7 linked regions of the Sus scrofa genome follow. The protein of the gene in region 7 interacts with the protein of the main gene of each other region in a pairwise test. Links are inferred from orthologs where the notes say so. Each region holds a gene or a part of one and is shown on either strand. Other genes may lie near its edges.

Region 1 (4,015 bases), on a different chromosome or scaffold from region 7:
AGCTCTTTTTCAACAGCCCCCCCCCCAAAAAATGGCACAAATGAACCTATACACAGAACAGAAACAGACTCACAGACCATAGAGAACAGACTTGTGCTTGCCAAGGAGGAGAGGGAGGGAGTGGGATAGACTGGGAGTTTTGGGTTAGTAGATGCAAACTGTTACACTTAGAATGGAAAAGAAATAAGGTCCTACTGTATAGGAATGTATAACTGGGTCATTTTCCTGTAAGACAGAAAGTGGCACTATACTTTAAAAAATAAAAAAGTAAAAATTATATTCTTTTGATTTAACCATTTAAATGTAGCATAGTACAGTCTTAGTCAAATGACATTCTTCAAAATGACACACTGCTGATGGCGTAGGGGTGATGTCTCTTTTCCTGTTTTTTGTAAGGAGCACTTCTAATTGCAAAGAAGTTGACCAAGCCACCAAAGGAAGGTCAAGGACAAAGTCCACAGCTTAATGGCATCAACTTCCCAAACATATGAGTGGGGCAAAGGTAGAAAAATAAAGTGTTGGGAGTTCCCATCGTGGCGCAGTGGTTAACGAATCCGACTAGGAACCATGAGGTTGCGGGTTCGGTCCCTGGCCTTGCTCAGTGGGTTAACGATCCGGCGTTGCCGTGAGCTGTGGTGTAGGTTGCACACGCGGCTCGGATCCCGAGTTGCTGTGGCTCTGGCGTAGGCCGGTGGCTGCAGCTCTGATTAGACCCCTAGCCTGGGAACCTCCATATGCCGAGGGAGCGGCCCAAAGAAATAGCAAAAAGACAAAAAAAAAAAAAAAAAGAAAAAGAAAGTGTTTAATTGAGAGAGGTACAGGAGGTACTCTCAAATCCTTTAAGGAAAAGGAGCTGAGTTGTGGCAGCTGTGACTGGCAAGCACTATGAAGTAGTTAAAGCTTTCTTTCTGAGGCAGACTGTAGCAGGAGGCAATGTTAAGGGCAGGTCTAACCCCTAAAACTAATATGGTAACTTAGGCACCCTTTCTATTACTATTCATTCCCAGGCTATGTGCCACGGCCAGAAGAACCAAAACACTCTGATGAAACAGCTGTTACATGCTTCCCTCTTCCTCTCCCAGTAAATTTCCCTCCAAAGGCCCCTGAATATTCCTTGATTTCCACCAGTGTGCCATGCCTAGCTCATTAAAATAAAATGGCACATGTCTACATCCCTGGCATATATATGCTTTTATCTTAGGTAGGAAATGGAAATAATGATCTTTCCTTCTTCTGGGTTCAGTTCAAGAACCAGGAACCAAGTTGTCTGTTGTGCCCTTCCCAAATCAACTTTTATGTGCTAATTCACTGAAGATAGAGTATAACTAATTATCATTTGAAGGCATCTATTTGACAGGCCTGGAGCAGTTACCATCTGCTGCTAAGGTATCCCCTACAGAGGCAAGAAAAAAGTGTCCTCACCCTTTCTGTCTGATGGTGGTAACAGAGAATGAATGGGGGGATACTGGGAAAAATATTTTGCAACTCACAAAAAACCCTGTGAACAGTAAATGCTTGATTTACTCCAAACAATTTGTTTTTAATTTTACTACCAGATTCTTTTGGGCCTGGGGGGCTGCCAAGTGCAGCAGCCTGATGTGGGATCTCAGTTCCCAGACCAGGGATCAAACCTGGGCTGCAGCAGTGAAAGCACTGAGTCCTAACCAGAGATCTAGGCCACCAAAGACCTCCCTCAAAGAAGAATTTGAGTTTACAAGGCAAGTACTGAAAAATTATTCCCCTACACGCTTGTCCTCTGATTGATTCCACTTGTAAAAGCATATGGGCTAAGTCTAATTAAAGGCAAGCCAATAGGAAAAGTTATCATTTGACTCCTTTAAACCCAACACAGGTGGAGGTTATCTCTCCTAGATCATCAGCCCGTTCTAACTCGTGATGCTTATTAAGTTGATGCTTCATTGCAATAACAGGCAGTTCCCAACTAATTTAAGTCCAGTATTGAGTGAGACTCCACCAGTTCCTGCACTAGGTAGGAGTCAGGAAGCCTTCTTCTCCAAATCATCCCATATTGTACAATCCTGAAAGCCAAAAATATATGTATGATAATAATCAGTATTTAATACTAGGAAAGGATACTCTACGGAAATAAAAAAAAAAAAAAAGGTGCTTCATCTAAAAAATAACAAGGTACCATCCTTCTTGGATGTAGACCCTGCAGGACTGAATTTTGGAGAAATGCTGAGTGGAAAGTGCAAAGGCGTTCGGAGTCTGCTTACTTTTGTCCTTGACATCCTTCCTTTGGTCACCATTTTCAGAACAGCACTAGAAGGAGAGCAGGTGTGACAAACACATTAAGACTGAAGCAATAAGTGAAATTCATACAGGGTTCCCAGAGGGCATCCACGGGAGGACCCCAAGGTTCCAGACCCCTCCCCCCTGGAGACTTCCTGAGGTGCGATCTGATGCAGGTTCCAAAAAGGGCTAGCTCCTTGAGGCCACCACAGCCACCTCCCCAGAAAGATCTGTGTCATCTCATCGGTATCGCCACAGCCACTGCATTGGGATTACCTCTCCTGAGAGGTCTATGCCACCTCACTGGGCCACCAGTGTCCCCTCCCGCGGCCACTAGGGCCCCCTCACCGGGGTTGCTGGCGCTTCGCCGATCTCGCTGGCCGGGAGCATCCTGCCTCCGCGCGAGTCCTCGGTTCCATGTGCAGCCAGCGTGGTCAGTGGACCCTGGCTCCGGCCAGCGGCTAGACAGCGGCTGAACCTTTCGAGACCTTAGCGTTGGACGCCACGGCAACTTCCTCTGCCGTCTCTCTGGTTTCTTCCTTTCTTTCCAGAGAGGCCCTTCTCGCGCAGTTGCCGGTCTTGCGCGGTGGCGCCCCCTGCCGGCTTGGATCCGGATCGGACGCTCTGGAAGAAGAAAAGGGGGCGAGCAAAGGCAGTCCTTGTCATTCTAAGTAAAACCTCCTTCACTGCTTTGGAAACATTAATGATGGAGATTCAAAGTATCCTTCCTTCCACACTGTAAATTCATTATGAATCATTTCAACTTATATTTTAGAGGATATCCCAGATGTTCTGAGAGTGTGAGGGAGCTTGTTGACAAGTAGTAATGTAATTTGGTTGGGTGGTTTAATCGCATAATTTCCAATGTCAGTATCTTTGGATCATTCTTTTAAAGCTAATCAGATTTAACTACAAGTTACACTTCAACTTCCTACCTGAAGGGTGCAGATCTGATTGTAAACATTCTGGGAGCAGAACAGAGGGAAAGGACTCAGCATCTAATATATACTTCAGATCAAAGTCTGTACTTTGCCAGGGAGGAGGACCAGGACTGGCAGCATGATATAGGTAGAGAATTCAGGGATGCGACAACTTCAAAAATAAACATGTAAAGTGGTACCATTGAGACTAAAACTAACAGAGAAAGGGAGAAAAAGCAACCCTTAGAGAAAACAGAACCGATTCAATGAGAACATTGTATTTATTTATTTATGTCCTGAGATATGACGCCACTGCGACTATAAAACAATCACGAGCTACTATTTTGTTTTTACTTTTTGGCCACAATAACGGTAATTCCCCGGCTAGGGATTGAACTCACCATAGCAGTAACCGGAGCCACAGCAGTGACAAGGCCGGATCCTTATCCCACTGAGCAACCAGGGAACTCCAACAGTCTACTATTTTATTTTATTTTATTTTTATTTTGTCTTTTTCGGGCCACACCCACAGCATATGGTGGTTCCCAGGCTAGGGGTCCAATCGAAGCTGTAGCCGCTGGCCTACGCCACAGCCATAGCAACACGGGATCCAAGCCACATCTGTGACCTACACCACAGCTCACGGCAACCCGGATCCTTAAGTCACTGAGCAAGGCCAGGGATCAAATCCCGTTCTCATGGGTACTAGTCGGGTTCCTTAACCACTGAGCCATGACAGGCACTCCTTATTTTATTTTTTTGTCTTTTAGGGCTGCGCCTAAGGCATATGGAGGTTCCCAGGCTAGGATCAAAATGGAGCTATAGCCACTGGCCTACACCAC
Region 2 (3,500 bases), on a different chromosome or scaffold from region 7:
CTTCCCATACTACAGATGAGGAAATGGAGGCTCAGCAGAATTATGGGCAGTGCTCAAACAAACAGCTGTCGTGTCATAAAGTATTTCTGAGCAGCTATTGAGTACATATTAAGTGCCAGGCAGTAGGCTAAACAGTTTACACATGTTATTTAATTCTCGCAACAATCCTATGAGTTGACTTATTACCTCCATTTTACAGATGTGAAAACTGGGGGTCAGAAAGGTTAAGCGACTTTCCAGAGGTCATACAACCAAAATGAGGCAGAGCTGACACGAGAACCCAGATCTGGTGAATCTGGAGCCCACGCTCCTTCCTCTAAATAGGCCTCCAAACCTCAGCTTTTCCAAGAGACCCCTGATTCCACCCAGGCCCCAAAGGACGGGCTGGTCCTCACCTTCTCCAGCTTTCCAGAGACAGGGATGAGCTTTGGTGGGGGGCCACGGAGATGGGCATTTCGTGCCCGCTGCTCTCGGGCATCTTCAATGTCACTGCTTGGGCTGGGGGGTGACTCTGTCCGGAAGTCCTCATTGATGTAGGTAAAGTTGGTGCCAGGGACAGCCTTCCTGGGGGGCACAGCTGGGCACAGTGGTTCCTGGGCCTCATAGCCACCCCTCAGCAGCCCATCCTGCTGGCGGAAGAAGGTGGGTCCAGGGGGACCATGGTGGCGGGGAGGAGCCGGCCCCCCGGGGCAGGGCCGGCCTGAGATGAGGCTGCTCACGCTGCCCATGGCTGGAGCTTGTGGGGCAGTGGCGGCCTCAGGAGCGGGCTCCAGTGGCACCGGCAACGTCTGCACAATGGCCATGGCGGCAGAGGCTCAGGCCTGGCCAAGGGCCTCCAGGGAAACCTGTGAGCAGGGCAGTGGTATCAGAGTCTCTCCAGTTTGAGCTCCTCCCTAAATAAGGCCGAGTCCCTCCTGGTCCTTCGGAGGTCAAACAGCCCGCTGGCACCGGTAAGCAAGCACTGAAACCCCCCAGGGCTACTCCTCTGATCAAGGGATGGAACCTCAATTCTCCCTGGGCCCCAGACCACTGCCCAGCCCTGGTCTGAACAGAGCTGAGGCCTGAATAGACGGAGCAGGGATGAGGAGGGGATGGGAGGCCTGGTGGTTACACAGGGCCCTTGGTAGCAGAGGCCCAGGCCCCAGCCCCAAACAGCATCCCCCACAGAGGTCAGGACTCAAGTGAGGGAGGGCGCCCTCTCTACCAGCTCCTAGCACAGGCCCCTGGTCTCTTGGGGCAGGTGGCCTCATTAGAGGTGGACAACCTCTCAGGGGTACAGTCAGCAACTCAGACGGTAATTAGGGTACAAAAAGCCAAGGCCAGGCAGTGCCCAGCCTCCCCCAGCTAGGCCTCAGCTTCTCCCAGACAGAGAGGCGGGAAGGGTGGAGCTGGCCAAACGAGAACCCAGAGCTCTTAGGGAGCCCACAGGTGCCCTCTGGGGTCTCCTGCCTCCCAGAGGTGGATGCAGGTTCATGCTTGTTTCCATGACAACTCCCAGCCTTGCCACACCCAATCAGTGGGGCCTACAGAAGCCCACGCAGGCCCATTGCCAACCTCTATGAAACCTTCCGGCTTCAGACATTCCCCGGGTAACCCTGAGGAGATAAGAGAGAAGCCCTACCATCACCTCTGGCAGCTGCTCCAAGTTCTCACTTCCCTGGAGCCCAGGGAAGAGGGCTCCACCTCCCCAGCCCCTGCTCCTTCCTGGAAGAGGACAGCAAGTCTCCGCCCGGAACTCCCTCCCTAGTCCGGAGGCTGAACACCAGGACTCAGGCATCTGCTGAAGTCATCATGCAGAGCAGGGGCCAAGATGTGGACAGAGAATTGCGTAGGAGTAGGAGTGTGTGCATTTACTTATTTGTGCGTGTGAAACTGTGCACGAGAGCATGAAAATGAGCACTGTGTGTGAAAACATGAGTGAGTGTGTGTGAGTACACATATATGTTTGGACAGATGCAACGGTACGTTCAGGCACACGTGAGTATCTATGTGCACTCATACGTGCAGATCTTAAAAGAATGTTTGCAAAATAATGTATCTCTCTCAGAAAGTACATGAAAGTTACAAATGCATACATAATAAGTGAATTTGTGGTACATGAGTGTGACTATGAGAGATGTTTGGAGAGATGTCCATTCATATATACATGAGTATGTGTACCTGAGGGTGCACAAGTGTGTACAGAGTGTGCATACAGAGCAATGTGTGTGCATGGGAGCATGAGAGAGAGAGAGAGAGAGCGCACGCCTGGGTGGCATGCAGGGCCAAATGGGTGAGTGGGAGCCTGGTTTTTGTCACTTGCTGGAGTGTAGGGAGAGGAGAGACGTTATCCTTTGCTTGATCTGCTCTCCTTCATTCCCGCTTGTGTTCCATTAAGGTCCCCCCCCTCCCGCCCCGCAACCTCCCCACTAAAGTCAAAAGCCCTAGAGAACTGGGGAGGTGTCCCGACTGAGGAGGAGCGGAACTGGGGTCGGGGTGACTGGTGTCCAGGGAGCAGGGGTAGGGGCTGAGTCCACCCCACAAGTGCCAGCCCTGAGCAAAGTCGGTGGAACACGCCCTCTGCGCTCTCCCAGGCCACTCCAGAGCATGGAGACAACAGCGGGGAAGGGGCTTTTTAGGGGGCTAGGGGGACTGGCACCTCTGCGTTTTCCTACTTTTCAGTGAGCACAGAAAAAGTGGAAACTGAGGGGAGGAGACAGAGACTCCGAAGACGGGAGACAAAGACTGAAAGCGGCCCCAGGGTCAGGCGGATCCAGTGAGCCAGGGGCCCCTCAACCAGAAGAGACATCAGTCTGGGCCCTGAGATCCAGACACCCAGCGAGCCAGCGCCAGGCGTCTGGAAAGCCAGGCCCAGCCAGCCAGGCTCCCGCTCTTGGAGCCCGAGAGAGAAGGAGGGGCAAGTGGAGGCTCCATTTTGAGAAATGCGTTTGTGGCTGTGGGAAGAAAACCCCTCGCTCTCCGCAACATCCTTGAAAAACCCGGACAGCACACGCTCCCCCGCTCAGTGGGCTGGGGGCGGCTGAGGGCTGGGTCCAGCTGGGGCCCGAGGGAGGTCTGGCCAAGGTCCGAGATCCCACGGACCTGTTTTGGGGGCAGAAGAGTTGGGGAAAGTCTCCCCCTCACCAAACTCCAAGGACCATCCAGCGGGATCAAGTCTGGGATCACGAGTTCCCATTCCGAGAGACAGGAAGCCGGGAGCCCCCCCACCCATCCCCCGGAGTCCACCCCCCACCATCCCCCGCCGCTTCCATAAAGTGGGGGCAGCTGTGGAATGCCGCCTCCCCACGGGACCTCCGCCGAGGAGAAGTTGGGGGCGCCCCCAGGCCGCCTCCCAGCCCCGGCGCCCCCTCACCTCCGCCGCGCTGCTCCATGCTCAGCCCCGGGCCGCCCCCAGCGCTCCACAGGCGCGCCGCCTGGCTTCAGCCCGCGCGCCCCACTCGGAGCGGCCCGGCCCGGCCCGGCCCGGCCCCGCCTCCGCAGCGCCCCCGGCCCGGCCCGGC
Region 3 (3,500 bases), on a different chromosome or scaffold from region 7:
ACCAGAGAGCCAGCCTGAGATATGAAAGCCCCTGGGGGAGGCGGACTCTCCCTAGGACTGACCCAGAGAAGCTGATTTAAGTGATTTTTCTGGGATTCCAGTGGGTGGCTAAAAGAGGCCAGTTGACTTCTGGTGACATTCTGTGATCCTGCCTGACTATGTGGACCTGGGGGTAAGGTGGGGATGGGAAAGGAAGTATTGATGTTTCAACATGGCCAAGAACTTCAGCTCAGCTAAACTTTGGAAAAGTGAAGAAACCAAAGGTTTATGGGTTACCCGGGCTCTCATGTCTGCCTATTCCATATCTTTTCCTTTTTCTCTTTGATTACTTGTTTGAGGGGTTGTGGGTGGGAGGCGAAGAGATACAGTCAGAGATAGACTGAAATCGGCCATCATGGGGAAGTCTCCCTCCAGGGACACTCCCATCAGCTCCCTCTGTCCCAACTGACCATTTGGCTCCCAAACTTCAGGATGTGCAGACCAAGGAGGCAGAAGGATATCTGGGGGCAGGACCTGTAGACGATGCTGGTTTCTTACCACTTTGCCAGCCAGTGCAGGGCCTTGGGAGCTTGGCAAGGCTGCTCGCCAGAACATGGTGAGGAGGGAGGTCGACTCCTCCAGCCGCTGGTGCAGAGTGTTGGTGCTGCTCAGGAGCTCATGGACACCTTTGCTGCCCATCTCCTGGGAAAAGGGGGAGGTAGCCATGGGTATCCCTGGGGCTGAGAAATCACTTCTTTTTTCCTGAGCATAAGCCTCAGCTTCTTTTGTGAGTGAGGCGCAGACGTGGTCTACTTGACCCTGTGAAATTCTGATCTCAGCAGGAACACCCTATGGCAGGAATTCATTTGATTCCAGCTTCCCCCATACTCTTTAACTTCTAGCCCTGCTTTGTGCTTTAGAATCTGAGGTCCTTAGTTTTTGCACTGGCCCCATCTTGCCCTTCCCTAAATCACAGCTTATGCATCAGATGAGCTGCACTGCTTGTAGGACTGAGGTGCCACTCCCTTTGTCTGGTATTTCTACTCCCCAAAGAACTTATGCACCCCCTGTGGACCTGTTACTTTCCCTGCTTGGGATAACAGCTGACTCTGGGTTCATGCTGTCACTCCCACAGCACGTCCGATATCACGCCTGCCCATATGGATTCAAATTCTCAATTCCTAGCCAACTGACATATTTTTTTTTTCTTTTCTGCCTACAGATGGTCATGTGCAAGCATGGCTTCAGTAGATAATAAGCAAATAAAAGGTACTCAGTACAGCACCACATGTATGTTGACACTTAACATGCTCTACTGATGAGGATGGCAATGAGGATGGCAGTGCTGTAAAAGCTTTTCTGTGGTTCTGAGGGGGATATATCAAGTCAGCTACATATAGAACAGAGCAGAGCTTATAGTGAACTTAGCAGATGAAAATGGAAGATTGGAGCTGGCTTCAGATCTGGAGCATGAAAAGAAATAGCAGGAGAAGGAGCTAAAATCAGAAGAAGAAAGGCCCTGAGGAAAAAGGTGCACCTGAGAGCTATGATATGATTACCTCTGGGCCTGGAGCTTCAAGGCCAGGAAAGTTGCAGGTTGATCTCATGAGAGATGCTATCTTCTTGACCAGCAGTCTGCTCTCCTCAATCTGCTGTCTTAGGGCACTGTAGTCATCAATGTGTCCAATGACATGGCGGCCATGCTTATTGGCAAAGCAGCCGTCAGTAGCATCACCTTCCAGCTTGGGAGGGTGAGGGTTCTTCTTCACTGGAGAAGCATCCAAACCCAGCTCTGAGGAATAATACCACAACACAACAGAATCCACTGTTATTCATAAGCATATTCTCAGTTCAATCCAAAAAGGACATCAAGTAGTGAGAGAGGCCAGAAACAAGAAATCTTGACAGTCTTGGAAAGCACAAGTGTGAAGTCCATAGGTACTCTGGGTTTTATATTCTATAATCTTTCTTATATCACCTCATGATGATAGACTGCCAGGAGGCAGCTTTTATCCTTATCGACCAATAAAGTATTCAGGGCAGATATAATTAATAAAAACTTTTAAATTTGGGGGTTGAGAAGACACAGACAAGGAAATTAAGTTGGATAGAGAGCACTTTTAAGAAGGCAGAGATTATAGTGCAATGAGGCAGTACCAGAGCAATAGGAAAGCCATAGGAGAAAGAAAAATGACAAAAAAAGGCAGCCACAGAAGGTGCAATAAGTAGGGCTAAGGGCCTTGGGACATGCAGAAAAAATCTCTCTAAATTCAGATAATGTACATATAGAGAACCAACTATTAGTTGCATCAATAACTTTCCATCATCACTAGACCCTGAGCCCTGTAGTTGTGCTGTTTACCATTTGTCCTATTGAAGGTTGTGGTCTCTGAGCCAGGAGGAGCAGAAGAAGAGCTGGGGAAGACCAGAGCTGGAGAATTCATGCCCACATCCCGAACTGGAGGGGAGGCAACTGAATCTAGCAAGTAAAGATAATCACAGCTTTAGGAACCCTGGAAAATGCTGCTCCCCAAATGCATGCACAGCTTAGGCTTTGCCATTGGAAATCTAAGGTAACATGACGCTCTTCTTACCTAATCGTCATCCATGTACCCACAGTCAAAACCAATGGCAAATAAATCACTTATTTTGCAAAAGTAAGATGTTCCTATAATTGAAGGGTGTTCCATGAGAAAGTGACTTCCAGTTTGAAAAATGATTAGGTATGTTTTTCTAACCCCAGATTTGAATATAATTTTGTATGTGGTATGTCTTTTACCATGCTTTATAACTAAATAGAAATATACCTAGATATATACACTATGTATATATATATATATATATATAAATATTTCATCAAAGAATGAATGGGTTTATGTGTGATTAAACTCAGCACTCTAATCTCCATTTTGATGAGTGAAATATAGAGTAGTATGAGAAGAATAGGAGATAGAAGCCCTGGTAAGTTTGAGATGCCCTACTGGAGCCCAGGCAGCAAACCTCCAGGGAGGAATTGGAAAATCCCACCAGGAGACTGAAATAATCCTGGTCAAGCAAATGTGGCTTAGAGCCTGCTTTCCAGCTCAGGTCTCTATGCTGGAGGAGAAGGAGGAGTGACTGGGCCAATGGGGCTGAGTCCTGGCTGGTGTCGTGGGGAGGCAGTCAGAAGGGAAAGCCTGGTTAGAGGAAAGATGAGCAGTACTGAGACAGAGCATAGTGAGGTGGAAGGAACAGAGACTGGAAATCAAAACTTCTGCTTTGAATTCTGGGTTGGCCTCTAACTCCAGGAAACTTAGAATGTCTTTTAATTGTCTCAATGCTGAAGTTTTCTCATGTGAAATACAGAGGCAATAAAACCTGTCCTATCTCTGATGAAATTATTTGAAAAAGCACTTGAAAACGTGGTGAATGTTAAAGTACCCTGCACACATAAGGAATAGACATTAGGGAGAGGAGAGAAGATGACAGAGTCAAAGAACTTGAGCTTGCCTCCTCTCAAAAAAACACCAAATCACAACTAA
Region 4 (2,476 bases), on a different chromosome or scaffold from region 7:
GAAATCTGAGAAAAGCCTAGTGGGACTTGGTTTCCACAATTCTCATATTTAACCATGAAATTAAAATTAGGAGCAGGGCTAGATTTCACAGTCATAAGCAGGCTAGTCAGTGAGTTCCAAAGAGTTCACATACTCTTCTTTCTATTTCTATTAAAGTTTCACTGTCTGAAAACTCTGGGAATAACGACCATTGAATAAACTCTCGTTTATTAAATAGCGAGTGGAAAGAGTTAAGAGTTGACTTAAAGACAGAAAACATGGTAAATGTGAGTCAGGGCATTACAAAGTTTGCAAACAAAACCAGATCTCCAAAACAGGATGATTTTGTTAAACTATTGTAAATAACTCAGGAGAGAAAGCAACACACCCCCATGTGAATTAATTTTCATTTCCCCCCTCTATTCAGAGTTTCATCCAGATGTTGCAACCTCAGGCAGCTAGTAGACAATAATTGAAAAAGTAGACTAAGATTTAAATGGTCAAGACACAAATGCATAAAAAAGGATGTTTATAATGTGTTTATTCCACTAACTTGAAAAACAGGATTCTTTTATTTTAAATTACCACATTTGAATGCATGAAAGGAATGGGCCACAGTAAAACAAAAGTAATTACTTTTAAGACCATTTTTATTATCTCTAGTTTTGTATGCATTTTCAGAATTTTATCTGTCTTTATCACCATAACCAAGACAGAGATGTTCAAAACCAAGTTTTGACCCAAACTGGACTACTGAGATGCAGATGAAACAAGCAAATCAACACTAATAACCAGTAAAAATATTTTCCTGGATATTTATATACCATATTTACAAAAGTAAAGTTAAACCAATTGGTATTATGTACATGCATTAGTAAATATTTGTACTTTACATTTATATATATATGCATTTGTAAAAATCAAGTAAAAAGAAATTTTAAATTATTTTTATTTATGAAAAATATATATAATGTGACATACAAACTTTAATTTGAGTGCTTGTTCAATACTCAGTGCTTAAAAACATTTGGAAAAAAATCTCCAAATATATTCTGATAGAATATAAAGAGTTGAGGAAACAGTGATACTTGTGATTTAAACAAGTAGAGGAGGTGAGCAGAAAGAAGATACACATCCATGTGGGAATCACATAGCATAAACCAGATAAAGAGTAAGAAAAGGAAGATGTGCAGTTTTTCCCAAGGTCAATTTCACTCGAAAATGAATAGAACCAAGGTACTTTCAGGACAGGGTAAATGAATTGAAGTTTTAATAACCAGTCCTTACACAATGGGCTGATGCACAATTTGACTTCCTCCTAGAGGTTCATGAGCAAACGTGCCTTGGACATTTACCGTAGAGTACACTACAATGTCAGTTCCTCATTTGGCTTCCGTTAAGAGGCGAGGGTGTTTATGTGCCATATAATGATCTCACAAAATTTCAGGAGGTATCTGTCCTTACTGAAGAAACAATGGGGTGACATGTACCCTCTTTCCAAGTTCGAGCTGGGCTGGAATTCTTGGACCTTGAGTGTTTTCTTTCTCTAAAGAGCGAGGTCCATAGGCATTAGAGCAACTCATCCCAGTGCAAATGGCCTCAACATCTTTCCCAGGGTGCTTACTAGCCCTTTCAGGTCTGGGATCAGGTGTTGCAGGCCTGCTAGTTCAGGCAGGGGCAGCAGAAGCAGCAGATGGTCCGGCAGGGATTCTTCTTTTTGTACTGCACCGCCTTGCGCACCTGCACCTTGGCCTGGCCGGTGTAGTCAAGGGTCTTCTGCACGTTGAACTCGATGACGTCCAAGGTGTCAGCCTGCTGCTCCACCAGCATGGCCATCTGCAGGAAGAGGTCATGCAGGTCGCGGATGCGGCTCTCCAGCCGCAGCATCTCGCGGTGGCGGTTCTCGATCTCATTGAGGGCCGCCCGCGCGCCCTTCACATCAGCCAGCAGGTTCTCGGAGAACACGTCCCATTTGCCTTGTTCGAACATGTCCTCTATCTGGTTGCTCGAGACATCCTTGCCCATGATCTCCAGCTGGCGCTGGATGCGGATCTTACAGTTTTCGCGCTGCTTCATCTCGGCCTGGTTGTACTCGTGCATGGCAGCCTGGAAGGTGCGGGCGAGCGCGCTGTACTGCGCCTGCGCGATGCGCGCCACAGCCGAGTGCTCACCGTGCTTTGCCTGCGCCTCCTCGCTCAGCGCCTTCATGGCGCTCAGCTTGCGGTGGATGCTCTCACCCCGGGCCTTGATGTCCTTGGCAATCGAGTTGGTGTCACGCTTGATGCTGCTGAGACGCCGCATGGACGTGAGGAAGCGGGCGTTCTGCTTTCCCAGCCGCTTCACGTCAGTAAACAGCTGCTGGTTTTCATCCTGAAGCTCCTGGATGTCTCGGTACAAGGATTCCAGGATGTGGTCCGTCTCAAACACGATGTCCTCGTGAGGTGAGTCAAAGTCATCGTCCTTTTCTGGGAACTGCTGGTCATAGTGCTTGGTTAAC
Region 5 (4,182 bases), about 34 Mb from region 7:
AGGGGAGCGAGGGGCAGGGGTGGTGGCGGAGGAAAGGGGACACCAAAGCCTGAGGCTCCTTTCCTGGGCTTGCCAAGCTCTGAGACCGTGCAGCTCCTCAGGAAGTGGGCTGCTCCTTTAGATGGAAAAAAAATGTCCCAGATAGCACTAGGGCCTCTGTAGGGGACAGGCCGGGGGCGGGGGAATGGGGGGGGCCCCTTAGACCAGGGGCTGCAACTCCCCAACTGAATGCCTATGGCACTTGCTGAAGGATGTGCCAGAGCCCCACCAGGGAGAGCCTGGCTACTGGCCCTGCTAACAGCTAAGAAACCTGAGGCACAGAGAGAAAAGGCACTATTTCAAGGCCACAAAAGAGCTGAGGAGCTGAGATCAGAACAAAGGACTAGGGGTTCCCAAGGTTGCGGGTTTGATCCCCAGCCTCACTCAGTAGGTTAAGGACCCGGCATTGCCATGAGTTGTGGTGTAAGTCGCAGACTCAGCTCAGATCTGGCATTGCTGTGGCTGTGGTGTAGGCCGACAGCAACAGCTCTGATTAGACCCCTAGCCTGGGAACCTCCATATGCCGCAGGTGTGGCCCTAAAAAGACAAAAAACTGAAAAAAAGAACTAAGGACTAGAGAGTTCCTGTTGTGGCTCAGCCGATTAAGACCCCAGCATAGTGTGCATGAGGTTGCAGGTTCAATCCCTGGCCTCATTCAGTGGGTTAAGGATCCAGCGTTGCTGTGACCTGTGGCGTAAGCCGCAGATGCAGCTCGGATCCTGAGTGCTGTGGCTGTGGTGTAGGCTGGCAGTTGCAGGTATGATCTGACCCCTAGGCTGGGAACCTCCATATACCACGGATGCTGCCATAAAAAGAAAAGAAAAGAAAAGAAATAAAAAAAAAAAAAAAAAAGAGCTCGGGACTCTTCTATTTCCCTGAACTGCTCCTCTTCTGGGTACCTGCTCCTCTTCTGCTCCTCTTCTGGCTAAGGGGGCCTCTTCAGGCATCCTCCCCATTCCCGTGCCCCTACCCACGCTTCCTTCACAGGGTCCTCTCTGGGCCCCAAAGTAACCGAACCTGACGGGCTCTGGCAGGGAAGAGAGGCCTGGGGACTGGCCTGAGCTGGGAAGACTGGGAGGGAGACAGCCTCGGGGACAGAGGGAGGAGTAGAGGCTCTTCTGTGGCCTGTCCCCAAAGACCCACTGCAGCCAGGCAGGGGATGCGATAAAAGCCCTCAGAACCAGAGGGAATCCTGGTTCTGGGACATATAGTGACTCTGGCTCTGGAACACAAGACCAATGGAGGCAGAAAGCAAGGTGTTTTGGAAAGGTTTGGGGGCCCAGGTTGTGGAGAGAGAGGACCTAGCAGGGCTCTAGGTCCCCTGGGAAGGGGAAGTGACCGGGCCTAGGAGAACTGGCGGTGCACTCTGAAGGAGGGAGAAGCTGCCCAAAGCCACAGGAGGGCATCCAGGCAGAGAGAGCAAGATGACCCGAGGACAGACAGGTGGCCCAGAACCAGAAAGAGGAGGGTGCTCTGAGTGTGCCCAGAAAAAAGGGTAACGCTGCAGGCCCACACAAAGCAAGAGGACAGAGTGAAAGAGAAGTGTGTGGAGAAAGAGAAACATCCCCAAGAGAGAGCCTACAGTGCAAGGCCAGAGGTGGCACAGAGGGAGAATGAGGAGGGCACGCAGGTGAAGGGGGCAGGAGAGAGAGCAGGAGGTGAGCCAGGCGAGGGAAGCATCCACTTGAGGAGCAGAGCGCCTTGAGGGCGATGGCTCAGGAAAGAGCACCCTTACATGGCAACAGATGGCAGAGACCAAGGATGAAGAGCAGAAACCTGAAGGAAAGGGCATGGAAGGCTCGGGGGCTGGCCGAAGAAACGGCCCAGGCCAGAGAGCGGGAAAAGAAGCAGCACAGGCCCAGAAGAGAGGAGGAGGACGCTCAGGGAAAGTGGTACCTGCCTGGACTAGGGGAAACAGTGGGTACCGGTGAAGCTGGGAGAAGTGGCGGACTCGAGAAAGTGGGGCAGCATTCGATGGCAGAGTAGAGGTGGCACGGGCCAGGCTGGTTAAGAGCGCTCAAGGTGGGGAAAGAGCAGGGCGAAAGAGACAAGACGAGGATGGACTGGCCTGAGGCCCTCAGCAGTGGCTCGAGTCCGGAGAGAGGGCAGCGCAGGATGGCAAAAACCAGGCCAGTTCAAGTGGCTCAGGACTGGAAGAGGGGAGCTCCAGGTGGGTGGGATGGGAAAAGGACTCAGCACGGGATGATAAAGGACCGGGGCAGCATCGACGGTGCAGACCACGACTGGCAAGGGTGACTCTGGACTGGGAGGGAGGGTGCTCGAGGCAGCGCAGACCCAGGGCGGATCGGAGCCCGGGCGGGGGCGCTGACCTGGTGCAGGGCGCTGATGCCGTCGGCGTTGGTGGAGTCGAGCACGGCGCGGGCTGGCGGCGGGGCGGAGGGGTCCAGCTCGGCGTCAGGGTCGGGGTCGGCCGCGCGCAGCATCAAGCGCGCCTCGTCCAGGTCGCCACCCGCGCAGGCCGCCAGAAACTCGGCGGCGCGCTCGAAGCGCACGGTACGGGCGCGCCGTTCCCCGGGGCCCGGCTCGGCGCCTGCCCGCGCCCCCCACTGCCGCAACTGCTCCCGCCGCCGCTCACGGGCTGCCGCCGCCGCCGCCCCCGGGCCCGCCCCTGGGCCATCCTCGCCCGACATCGCGCCGCCCGCTCGCCCGCCAGGTAAGAAGCGAGCGAGCGAGCGAGCGAGCGACCAGCTCCGAGGCGTCGCCGACGCCCGCCCTCCTCCGGGCCGCCGGGAATTGCGTCCCGCCCCGCGCCGCCAGAGGATCTACCGGTCCCCGCCCGGCACGTGACGTCACCACGCCGACTCGGGGCCCGCTGGGAAATGGAGTCCACAGGCTGGAGAGGCAACCGGCAACCGCCTGAGGGCGGACCGCGGGGAACTCTGGGAAGTGGAGTCCATAAACGGAAATGGATCTCTGCAATAGTCCCGCCCCGAGGCACACTGGGAAATTCGCAGCTCCGCGGTGTCAAAAGGAAATCTGATTGGCGTGCTGGGAAGTGGAGTCTACAGGCGGGAGGTCGGCCCCAGGGCATGCAGGAAATGCCGTTCGCAGCATCCAGGTGACGAAGGGCTGGCCCCCGGGGACCTACTAGGAAATGGACTCGACAACCCGAAAAGTACAGAAGTTTTCCGTTTTCCCCTTTTTCATGTCATGTACTTTATTTACTTTGGGTTTGTCGCGCCCTTCAACAAGAAATAAGCCCCAGGAAGACCGGGATTTTTGTGTTGTGTGCTTTCCTTGTTCCCAGTACCTAGTAGAACGCGATCGGAAATAGTTTTTTGAATGAATGAATGAATGAGAGAACGGATTCTCTAGGTCGTGGGAAACACCAGGATACTATGGGAAATTGAGTCCGCAACCCTTGGATCATCAAGAAAATTGCAAGCCTTCCTGGGTGACCGCCCAGGGCATGCTGGGAAATTATGTATGCGGTACAAAGGTCATGACAATGGGCCGCTGGTCGCGCTGGGAAATGTAGTCCTAGGCAGAGCCCCCAAACACCCCAAGAAATAAGATTCGAGGGCAAGATAAGTCCAGAGTCCCCGAGTAACCCCTGGATCACATCGGGAAGGGAACCTGCGAGGTAGGATCCACAAATGAAAATGCCCGCAGAGCCTTAAACTGGCCCTCTCTGCCATTGCAATCACCCTGAGGCGTGGAGCACGCTGGGAAGTGTAGGCCGGGCTCTATATCCTCGCAAGCAATGCTGGGATTTGTAGTCCAGATGAGGCGTTCTAGTTGATGTGGCGGGCTAGTACGTAGCACCATAAAGCAAGAAATGAACCTTAGCTTGCGTGTTCGATTCCAGGCCTTGCTCAGTGGATTGAGGATCCGGCGTTGCCGTGAGCTGTGGTGCAGGTCGCAGACGCAGCTCGGACCCTGAGTTGTTATGGCTGTGGGGTAGGCCAGCAGCTCCCATTCAACCCCTAGCCTGGGAACTTACATATGCTGAAGGTGGGGACCTAAAGAGCAAAAGGAAAAGAAAAAAGAAAAAAGAAAACTATCCCCGTCTTAAGTACCTTGCACCTGAATCCTCATTGGGAAAGAGGTACGCACTTTGAGACCCGAACAAAGACCCCTAAAAATCGCAAAGAAAAGTGCTGAAATGCAGACACAGGCGAG
Region 6 (4,172 bases), on a different chromosome or scaffold from region 7:
AGAGCCGCACCTGCAGCATATGGAAGTCCCAGGGCTAGGGGTTGAACGGGAGCTACAGCTGTCGGCCCCTTCGCCGCAGCCACACCAGATCCGAGCAGCACCTGTGACCTACCCCACAGCTCGTGGCAACGCCGGATCCTTAACCCACAGATCGAGGCCAGGGACAGAACCCGCGTCCTCATGGATCCTAGTCGGAGTCTTAACCCACCGAGCCACAAGAGGAACTCCAGAAAACCTCTGAGGTTTAAAACAAAACCAAACAACCCCCAGCTATGCTTCATGTGGACTGGGCCTGCTACTGCTCAGCTCCACCTGGGGCAACGTTCAATGTCTCCTTGCCAAAAGTTACGTCCAGTTAGCAAAAAAAAAAAGGTCAAAAAGCAGAAGGACTGTGACATGTGGGACAAGGGCCACCACCAGACACTCAGGACACACGTGCCTGGCTCCCCCCAGCTCTGCAAGGATTTCTAACCCAACAGACCACGTGGCTTGCAGAGCTCGTCCAGTTCCTCTTAAACGGAGCTGACCCTCTGCTCCAGCAGGAGGAAGGCTTCACTCCGCCCACACACCGCTTGGTCCCCAGTGGGTCCGGTTACAGGCTTTTCTGCTCTTTTTCTAAATCAACAGGTGGAAACAACAAGGCAAGGCCTGGTTTGGATGCACCACAAACACGTTTTTGAGACGGGCCTTCTGGGGAATGGGGTGTGGCAAGCTCCAATTCCACCCTCCACTTGCCAGGTCCCTGAGCAGGTGAAGAGCCTGCCCCGAAGGGGCGCGAGGCACGCAGGGGGAGCAAAGCTGCACAGCCAGCCGCCTACCTTGTCCCGTGGGGCGGGGGGGTGCCACCCTTTGGGTCAATGGGGGCCACTTGGGACAGCTTTCCAACGTTGTTTACTATTTACAGGCCAGGCCTGATTTAAAAGGTGTCCTCTGCCTGTACCCCCCATCCCCCCGCCCCCGCCCCAAACCCCAGGTACTGGCTGGCTCCTTACTCTCAATTCAAGTGTGTTTTTCTTTTTACTACTGCACCGGCAGCCTATGGACATTCCCAGGCTATGGCTCGGATCCGAGCTGCAGCTGCAGCTCAGGGCCACGTCGGATCCTTAACCCACTGAGCTGTGCCAGAGATGGAACCCGATTCTCACAGAAATATCTGAAACCTCCAGCAATGAACCTGCTAAGCCAGAACAGGAACTCCAAAATAAATACCTTTTTCTTTTTTTTGGCCACCCGGCAGCATATGGAGGCCGGGGATCCGATCTCGGGGACCACGGCCAAAGCTGCAGCAGCGCCAGACCCCTTAACCCACTGTGCCAGGCTGGGGATCGAACCTGCCTCCCCGTGAGACGCCACAATCCCGATGCGCCACAGCGGGGACTCGCTCTATTCCATTCTAATCGCTCTCAAAGCGTTTAAAAAAAAAGAAAGAAAGAATGAGAAATCAGGTTGACAGTAAAACGAAACGCTTCTGTCACATGCACACCTGGAAGAGTTCCCTAAGTCTCCACCCCACGGGGAGGGTGGGGCGCCAAAAAAAATTATCTGTGGGGCGCAGAGCTGCAGGTTTGCAAAGTGGGGCCGCAGGCACCCCCATGCGTGGGGCGGTGGAGGGATTTAAAGTATTTTTCACAGCCACAGTCAGATGCACTTGGCCTGTTTGCACCCCAGTCTCTCAGGGGTGCCCAGGGGTGTGTGCCAGAGACAGGCGGCGGGCGGTGCCAACCGCGTGGAAACAGAAGCGGACCTCCGAGGATTTCTCACCTTAGGCCACACGCCAAAGGCGGCCACAAAGTAACACAGCACCGCACTCCCCACCGACCCCTCTGTTTGGGAAGGAGTTACTGTTCATCTAAAAATAAAAAGCCACGTATGCTCGCAGAGCCTGGCGTTATCCTGCTTCCTTTGCAAATCAGGGCAGACAGGAACGCTCCGGGTCTGCGGCTGAAGTCCCAGGCGCGCCAACGGGAGCCGACGCGGCCCCGGCCACACAGCGCCTCGCGGGCCCCCCAGCAGCGCTCGGAGCGCGAACCGGTCCCGACACCGGAAAGTTCGGGGTCGCAGACGCCGCGGGCGCAGGTCGCTAAGGCCGCAGAAGCAAGGTGCCCCTGAAGCGAAGGGCCCTGCCCCCGAGGCCCCCCCGGGCCCCGCACGCCCCCCGGAGCCCGTCCTACCTGACCCTGCGCGGAGGCCGGGCTCTCGGCGCGCCCTCCTCCCTCCGGGCGGGGAGCTGCGGGGCAGGCGCGCGGGACCCTGGGGACCCCGAGGACCCTGGCCCGGCCCGGCTGGGTGGGTCGGGGCGCGCGACACCGCAGGGAGACCCCGGCCTCGGGCGCGCGGGGAGGAGCGGCGGGCGGGGCGACCCGCCCTCCACCCCCGCGGCCGCCCGGCCCTGCTTCCGGGAGCGCCCGGCGCCGCGCACGGGCCCAGGCCGCGGTCAAGGGCACGCGGGGCCCGGGCGCGCCCCTCCCCCGCTCTGCCCCCGCCTCGGGGGCTGCGCCCCGCGGGGGACGCACCGCCCGGGCCCGGAGCCGCCGCCGCCATCGCCGCCGCCGCCGCCGCCGCGAGCCACCCGCCGGCCCCGCGCCCCGACCCCGCCCGCCCGCCCCCGGCCGCTGACCTGGCTCCGCGAAGCCCCCGCGGCAGCGGCGCAGCAGCTGCGCCAGGATCACCGCCGCGCCCGCCGCGTAGACCCGCAGGGCCGCCCGCGCCGCAGACAAAGGCGACATGGCTGCCCGGCCGCCGCTTCCGCGCCGCCCGCGGGACTCGGCGCTCGCCCGGCCGGACGGCGGAAACGCGCCCGCAGCGGCCCGCCCCCCGCGCCCGCGCGCCCGCCCGCCAGCCCGCCGGCCCCGCGCCGACCCCCGCCCCCGCCTGACCCGCGACCCCGGCCCCCCACCCAAACTGCAGACCCCAAGGACGCCCGCTCTGACCCCTGACCCCGCCTGACCCGGGACCCCCAGACTCCCTCCAGGATCATGGACCCCAGGGACCCCCCCCAGACCCCAGACCCCCACCCAAACCGAGGACCCCAGGAGCCCCCGCTCGGACCCCGTAGCTTCCCTGACCGGGACCCCAGACCCCCACCAGGACCACAGACCCCTGGGACCCCAGCCTCCCGACCCCCACCCAAACTGCGGACCCCAGGGACGCCCGCTCTGACCCCTGACCCCGCCTGACCCGGGACCCCCAGACTCCCTCCAGGATCATGGACCCCAGGGACCCCCCCCAGACCCCCGACCCCCACCCAAACTGAGGACCACAGGAGCCCCCGCTCAGACCCTGGAGCCCGGCTGACCAGGACCCCAGACCCCAGAGACCCCCCCCAGAGCCCCCTCCAGGACCACGGACCCCAGGGATCCCCCACCTCCACTCCCGACCCCGGAACCCCATCCAAACTGCGGACCCCAGGGGGTCCTGCTCTGAACCTGAACCCTGGCTGACCCGGGACCCCAGACCCCCACTAGGACCACAGACCCCCAGGGATCCCCCCAGACCCTCACCCAAACTGTGGATGCCAGGGAACCCCCCTCCAACTCTGCCTGACCCGGGACCCCAGACCCCCTCCAGGACCATGGACCCCAGAGACCCCCTTCCCAGACCCCCACCTAAACTGCAGACCCCAGGGACCCCTGCTTGTCTGTCAGTGCCCCACCAGACCCAAGGACCCAGCCCGGACCATGACTCCTGCCTGGATCCTGGGATCCCACCTGACCCCAGACCCCAGGGTTCCCCCTCCTGGACCCCAGGACACAGAACTATGGACCCCCCCCACCCAGATCATGTGCCCCTGTGCTGACAGGAGACCCAGGGAAGCCCCGCCCTCACCTTGAGCCCCCGCACAGACCCCAGGACCATCACTCAGATCCACCCTGGGACTACAGACCCCTGGTCCAGGGACCCCACCGGGACTGCAGGCCACCCCTGCGCCAGAGACCCTACCCTGACATCAACCCAACCCAGCCCCCTAACTCCTGCCTTGGGCCCACCCCACCCTCGTGACCCCAAGACCCACCCTGGACCCCAAACCCACTCTTTAGACCATGGACTCCCACCCAGACTGCCTAGCCCCACATAGACTTGGAACCTGTGGGGACAGTGGGATCCCTCACAGCCCGCCTCCCCTACCCCAGCAGAACCCCACTGTGGCCAGGACTCCTGGTCCCTACTGGGGC
Region 7 (4,227 bases):
TTCAACCTACACCACAGCTCATGGCAACACCAATCCTTAACCCACTGAGTGGGGCCAGGGATCCAAACTGCATCCTCATGGATACTAGTCAGATTCGTTACCACTGAGCCACAGTGGGAACTCCCTGATCTGCCCATTTTAAAACTGGCAATTTCCATAAGCAGAAGGACCTGCTTGGGGTTATCCTTCCACCTGAGCTCTGGTAACAGACCAAGTTATTCATTTGTTTGTTTTTAAATGGTTGGATCAAAAAAAAAAAATCTTATAATGTGAATCCACATTTTAGTATGTCCATAAATACATGTTTATTGGAATACAGCTGTGCCCATTCATTACAGCTGTTTCGGAACTATCACAGCAGAGATGAGTAGTTTTCAATGAGAACCATTTGGCCCATAAAGCCTAAAATATTTACTACCCGATTCTGTAGAGAAAATGTTTGTTTGCCTACCTGCACAAGTAGATGAGGTTAAAAGCAAAGGAGAAAAATAAAGCAAGGCAGTGAGACAGAGTGGGGATGGGTAAGGTTGCAGTTTCCTACAGGGATCTTGGACGACTTCAGGATGAAGATGAAGGCTGTCATTGGAACCACAGAAGGGCTCCAGGTCGAGGCCTGGGGAAACTCTAGCAGCTCTTACCGAAGTACTCGAGCCAGTTCATCTCGCGCAGTGCCTTGGGGAGTCGCAGGATCTCGATGTTGTACAGGTTATCCATCTCCTTGAGGAGGTTCTGCCTGTCTGACTGAATTTGCTTGGATCGTATTTGCACTGCAAGAGGGCAGAGCGGACAAGACGTGGGTCACCAGTGGGCAAACGGGGCCTGGAATCCGTGCGGCCTGCGCCCCAACCCGCCAGCACCCCGCGATTGTCCCAGATGCCAGCGACCTCCCGGGCTCCGCCCCTTACCTTCACGGTCGAAGTCTTTAAGAAAGGAAGCGAGCTTTCGGCTCCGTAGCGAGTTGTTCTTGGCCACCCGACTGCCGCCTTTCCTAGCCGGAGCCATGGCACTTCGCTGGAGACTGCGGGGAGAGAGGGGCCAAGCCAAAGGGTGTCAGCGGCGGAGAAAGGGAGGGAAAGGGGGCCGCGAAGGAGCAGGAGAGGGCGGAGGACACCCCAGGGGGGTTGGAAGGGGACCCCTGCCCTTCCCGGCATGAGCATAAACGATTCGCGAGGCACTCACCTGTGGGCCCCGGTAATAGGGGCTGAGAAAACCCTGGCTGCTTCAGCTGAGAGGGAGCGGCTCCGGGACTAACCGGACGTGCGACCGCCGCCACCAAATTCAAACTGCCACAAGCTGACCAATGAGAAGCCGCCGTCTTAGAGGGTCCCACAACAGCCAATCGCAGGGACGCTCTGCGATCGGCCAGTCAATTCACACGCAGGACTACAGCACCCAGAAGTCATTGCAGTTTGACGGCATATTTTCGCGACTCTGTAGCCACGTTGGGGCATGCGCAAAGAGAGTCCCTAAGGCTCTTGAGGGCCTAGAGAGGTCCTCAGACTTTAACTGCCTTAGCTTTAACTTTTGCCGCTGGTTTAGGGAAGGCGAGCCGTAACTTCATGGAGAGGAGACAAGGTTCGGGTTCAGGAAACTCGAGACGGCCCGGGAAACCCACAGTCTGAAACAGAAAACTACCCGAAGCCGGATGAGCCTCCTGCGAGGAATAGTCAAGAAATCTTTCCCGAGGTGGGAAATAAGGGTCCTGCCTTCCGAGAGCCTGTGTAAAGGTAAGACAACCCCTCACTCTAGAAACTCCCGTCGGGAGGGATAGACAGCTACCTGAGGAAACCCTGGGTTAGCTGGACCTCACTTGAGAACGGAAATAACTCCTACCGACTTGGTACTTCCCCTACCGACTTGGGACTCTAGGGCTGTGTCTTTTTTTTTTTTTTCCTCCCACAGAAGATGACTCAAGTTGGGCCTTTGCTTGCCGTGCAGGAGGCCCTAAGGAAGTGCTTTCTCGTGGTGGAGGAGCAGCAAGGCCTGTGGCAGAGCGTTCTTAAGGACTGCCCGCCGCTCCTGGCCTCCCTCAGTAACCTGGCAGAGCAGCTGCAGGCCGCACAAAATCTGCGATTTGAAGATGTGCCGGCACTTCGGGCCTTCCCAGACTTACAGGAGCGGCTGAGACGCAAGCAGCTGGCGGCTGGTGACATTGTCCTGGACAAGCTAGAGGAGAGGCTGTAAGAGGTTTAGTGGCTCTGTTCTTGGTGGAAAGATTTTAAAGCTAGGTGTTTAGAAAACTAGGATCAGTTAGAAGGATGTTTTTCTCCTTACTTGAGAGCTTTGTATTTGGGGATGTGTCAACCTTACGTGCTTTTCATCTGTTGCAATGGGACCTCTGTCAAAAAGCCACTTTCTGACATTTCTTTTGTCAGGCTAGGGGTGGCAATGGTGGACTTCGTAAAAGTTACCAAAGCAGAACAGAAAAACAGTGGAGAAAGCTTATTAGCCCTCCTCTGTAAGTTTTTCTTTGGTAAAAAGCAGCAAAGAGCTGTACTATAAACTTAGTGGGTGCCAGAGCTGAGGGTTTTACGTCCATTATCCGTAAAATCTTTTCTGCACCTCTATGACTTAACCTCACTTAATCTCATTTTTCCGGTGAGGCAGCTGAGGCCCAAGCAGATTGCCTGTGGTCCTGCAATTAGTAAATGGTAAAGCTGGGATTCTCATCCAAGTGTATCTGACACCAAGGCCGGAGCTCTTAACCACTACTTTGTTCTGCTGTACATTGGTGTGTCTGTGCCAGGAGTGGTACCCCTCTAAGCTCTCGTTATGCCTAGTGTTAGACTCTCTGGCTTCGAGTTATAGGTAATTGAGGATAGAGGAGAGACAGGGAACTTATGGCCTTTCCTTGACCAGGACAAAAGAAGGTTCTAGTGTATAGAGTCTGTGCTGTTAACTAATAGGAGACTGTCAAAGATGAGTGCCTTCTTGGTATTCATTTGTTTAAAAAAAATTTTATTAACAGCCTATAGGAGAGTTCCTGTTGTGACTCAGTGGATTAAGGACCCAGTGTTGTCTCTGTGAGGATGTGAGTTCAATCCCTGGCCTCACTCGGGGGGTTAAGGATCCAGCATTGCTGTAAGATGCAGTGTCGGTCACAGATGCAGCTGGTGTTGCCATGGCTTTGGCATAGGCCTCAGCTGCAGCTTTGATTTGACCTCCGGCCCAGGAACTTCCACATGCCACAGGTGCGGCTGTAAAGAGAGAGAAAAAAAAAAAAAAAAAGTAAAGAAAAGAAACCTATGGGGAGTTCCCGTCGTGGCGCAGTGGTTAATGAATCCGACTAGGAACCATGGGGTTGCGGGTTCAGTCCCTGCCCTTGCTCAGTGGGTTAATGATCCGGCGTTGCCGTGAGCTGTGGTATAGGTTGCAGACGGCTCGGATCCGGCGTTGCTGTGGCTCTGGCGTAGGCTGGTGGCTACGGCTCCGATTAGACCCCTAGCCTGGGAATCTCCATATGCCGCGGAAGTGGCCCAAGAAATAGAAAAAAAAAAAAAAAAAGAAAGAAACCTATGGGATGCCAAGCACAGGGTGCTGGGTCTACAATAAACCAGACTTAAGTTCTTTGGTTGATTAAAAGAGATAGACAGTCAATTAAGTTTTGTCATGGTACATTCTAATATAGTGACCTTTTATTTCAATTGATTACATATTTGTATGTGGGTATGGACTGTTATTTTAAATCTTTTTTTTTTTTTTTTTTTTTTTGACCGCACCCACGGCATGAAAAAGTTCCTGGGCCAGGGATCAAACTCAAGCCATAGCAGTAACCAGAGCCACAGCAGAGACATCACTGAACCACCAGGAAACCCCTATTTTAAGTGTTTTTAAGTCGTGAGTCACAGTCAAACATTTTTGAAAGCTGCAGTTCTAGGCTAGGGAATGCCTTGCCCTTTGGGAAGTTGTAGCTTTCTTCTTGGTGGCTGGGCCCCTTGGAGTCACCAGTGGAATAATAACAAAATTTACTATAAGCCAGGCACTTCCCTAAGCACTTACATTACTGCATTTAATCTTCGCAGCAGTCTTTTTCATTCATTCATAGGACAAGTGTTTGTCGTTCTCTGTGCCAGTCCGGATATTCTAGGCGCTTATGATGAATAGTGAACAAAAGAGACTGTATTCATGATTGAGAATAAGTAGCTTTTCTAAGATCCCCAGTTGTCTGTGTGCATCAAGAGCCCAGACTTGGCCCATTTGCTGGGTTTGGGGTGAGAGGTGACATTA

The links.
Region 1: the proteins of C6H1orf109 (region 7) and RINT1 interact in binary tests that used the Homo sapiens proteins (3 or more experiments, as listed by UniProt). The two-hybrid records come from large-scale screens. The link is inferred for Sus scrofa from reciprocal best matches to the Homo sapiens genes AIRIM and RINT1.
Region 2: the proteins of C6H1orf109 (region 7) and LZTS2 interact in binary tests that used the Homo sapiens proteins (3 or more experiments, as listed by UniProt). The two-hybrid records come from large-scale screens. The link is inferred for Sus scrofa from reciprocal best matches to the Homo sapiens genes AIRIM and LZTS2.
Region 3: the proteins of C6H1orf109 (region 7) and myomegalin interact in binary tests that used the Homo sapiens proteins (3 or more experiments, as listed by UniProt). The two-hybrid records come from large-scale screens. The link is inferred for Sus scrofa from reciprocal best matches to the Homo sapiens genes AIRIM and PDE4DIP.
Region 4: the proteins of C6H1orf109 (region 7) and STX11 interact in binary tests that used the Homo sapiens proteins (3 or more experiments, as listed by UniProt). The two-hybrid records come from large-scale screens. The link is inferred for Sus scrofa from reciprocal best matches to the Homo sapiens genes AIRIM and STX11.
Region 5: the proteins of C6H1orf109 (region 7) and PPP1R12C interact in binary tests that used the Homo sapiens proteins (3 or more experiments, as listed by UniProt). The two-hybrid records come from large-scale screens. The link is inferred for Sus scrofa from reciprocal best matches to the Homo sapiens genes AIRIM and PPP1R12C.
Region 6: the proteins of C6H1orf109 (region 7) and ZBED1 interact in binary tests that used the Homo sapiens proteins (3 or more experiments, as listed by UniProt). The two-hybrid records come from large-scale screens. The link is inferred for Sus scrofa from reciprocal best matches to the Homo sapiens genes AIRIM and ZBED1.

The regions. Positions count from the first base shown.
Region 1 is NC_010451.4:105,391,638-105,395,652, reverse strand, and holds the start of RINT1 (RAD50-interacting protein 1), read right to left. Parts: upstream 2,801-4,015; 5' UTR 2,644-2,800; coding exon 2,602-2,643; intron 2,284-2,601; coding exon 2,238-2,283; intron 1-2,237. UniProt on the Homo sapiens protein: Involved in regulation of membrane traffic between the Golgi and the endoplasmic reticulum (ER); the function is proposed to depend on its association in the NRZ complex which is believed to play a role in SNARE assembly at the ER.
Region 2 is NC_010456.5:112,081,211-112,084,710, reverse strand, and holds part of LZTS2 (leucine zipper putative tumor suppressor 2), read right to left. Parts: intron 3,493-3,500; exon of another isoform or gene 3,353-3,492; intron 3,205-3,352; exon of another isoform or gene 1,622-3,204; intron 846-1,621; 5' UTR 804-845; coding exon 396-803; intron 1-395. UniProt on the Homo sapiens protein: Negative regulator of katanin-mediated microtubule severing and release from the centrosome. Required for central spindle formation and the completion of cytokinesis.
Region 3 is NC_010446.5:100,650,619-100,654,118, forward strand, and holds part of myomegalin, read right to left. Parts: intron 2,459-3,500; coding exon 2,342-2,458; intron 1,772-2,341; coding exon 1,539-1,771; intron 682-1,538; coding exon 538-681; intron 1-537. UniProt on the Homo sapiens protein: Functions as an anchor sequestering components of the cAMP-dependent pathway to Golgi and/or centrosomes.
Region 4 is NC_010443.5:21,127,371-21,129,846, forward strand, and holds the end of STX11 (syntaxin-11), read right to left. Parts: coding exon 1,642-2,476; 3' UTR 501-1,641; downstream 1-500. UniProt on the Homo sapiens protein: SNARE that acts to regulate protein transport between late endosomes and the trans-Golgi network.
Region 5 is NC_010448.4:59,344,375-59,348,556, forward strand, and holds the start of PPP1R12C (protein phosphatase 1 regulatory subunit 12C), read right to left. Parts: upstream 2,801-4,182; 5' UTR 2,691-2,800; coding exon 2,370-2,690; intron 1-2,369. UniProt on the Homo sapiens protein: Regulates myosin phosphatase activity.
Region 6 is NW_018085344.1:633,006-637,177, forward strand, and holds the start of ZBED1 (zinc finger BED domain-containing protein 1), read right to left. Parts: upstream 2,801-4,172; 5' UTR 2,727-2,800; coding exon of another isoform or gene 2,618-2,726; intron 2,390-2,617; exon of another isoform or gene 2,172-2,389; intron 1-2,171. Other genes in the region: dehydrogenase/reductase SDR family member on chromosome X, read right to left, coding at 2,618-2,726.
Region 7 is NC_010448.4:93,747,797-93,752,023, reverse strand, and holds the start of C6H1orf109 (uncharacterized protein C1orf109 homolog), read left to right. Parts: upstream 1-1,427; 5' UTR 1,428-1,727; intron 1,728-1,902; 5' UTR 1,903-1,905; coding exon 1,906-2,180; intron 2,181-4,227. Other genes in the region: CDCA8 (borealin), read right to left, coding at 639-767, 906-1,002. UniProt on the Homo sapiens protein: Part of the 55LCC heterohexameric ATPase complex which is chromatin-associated and promotes replisome proteostasis to maintain replication fork progression and genome stability.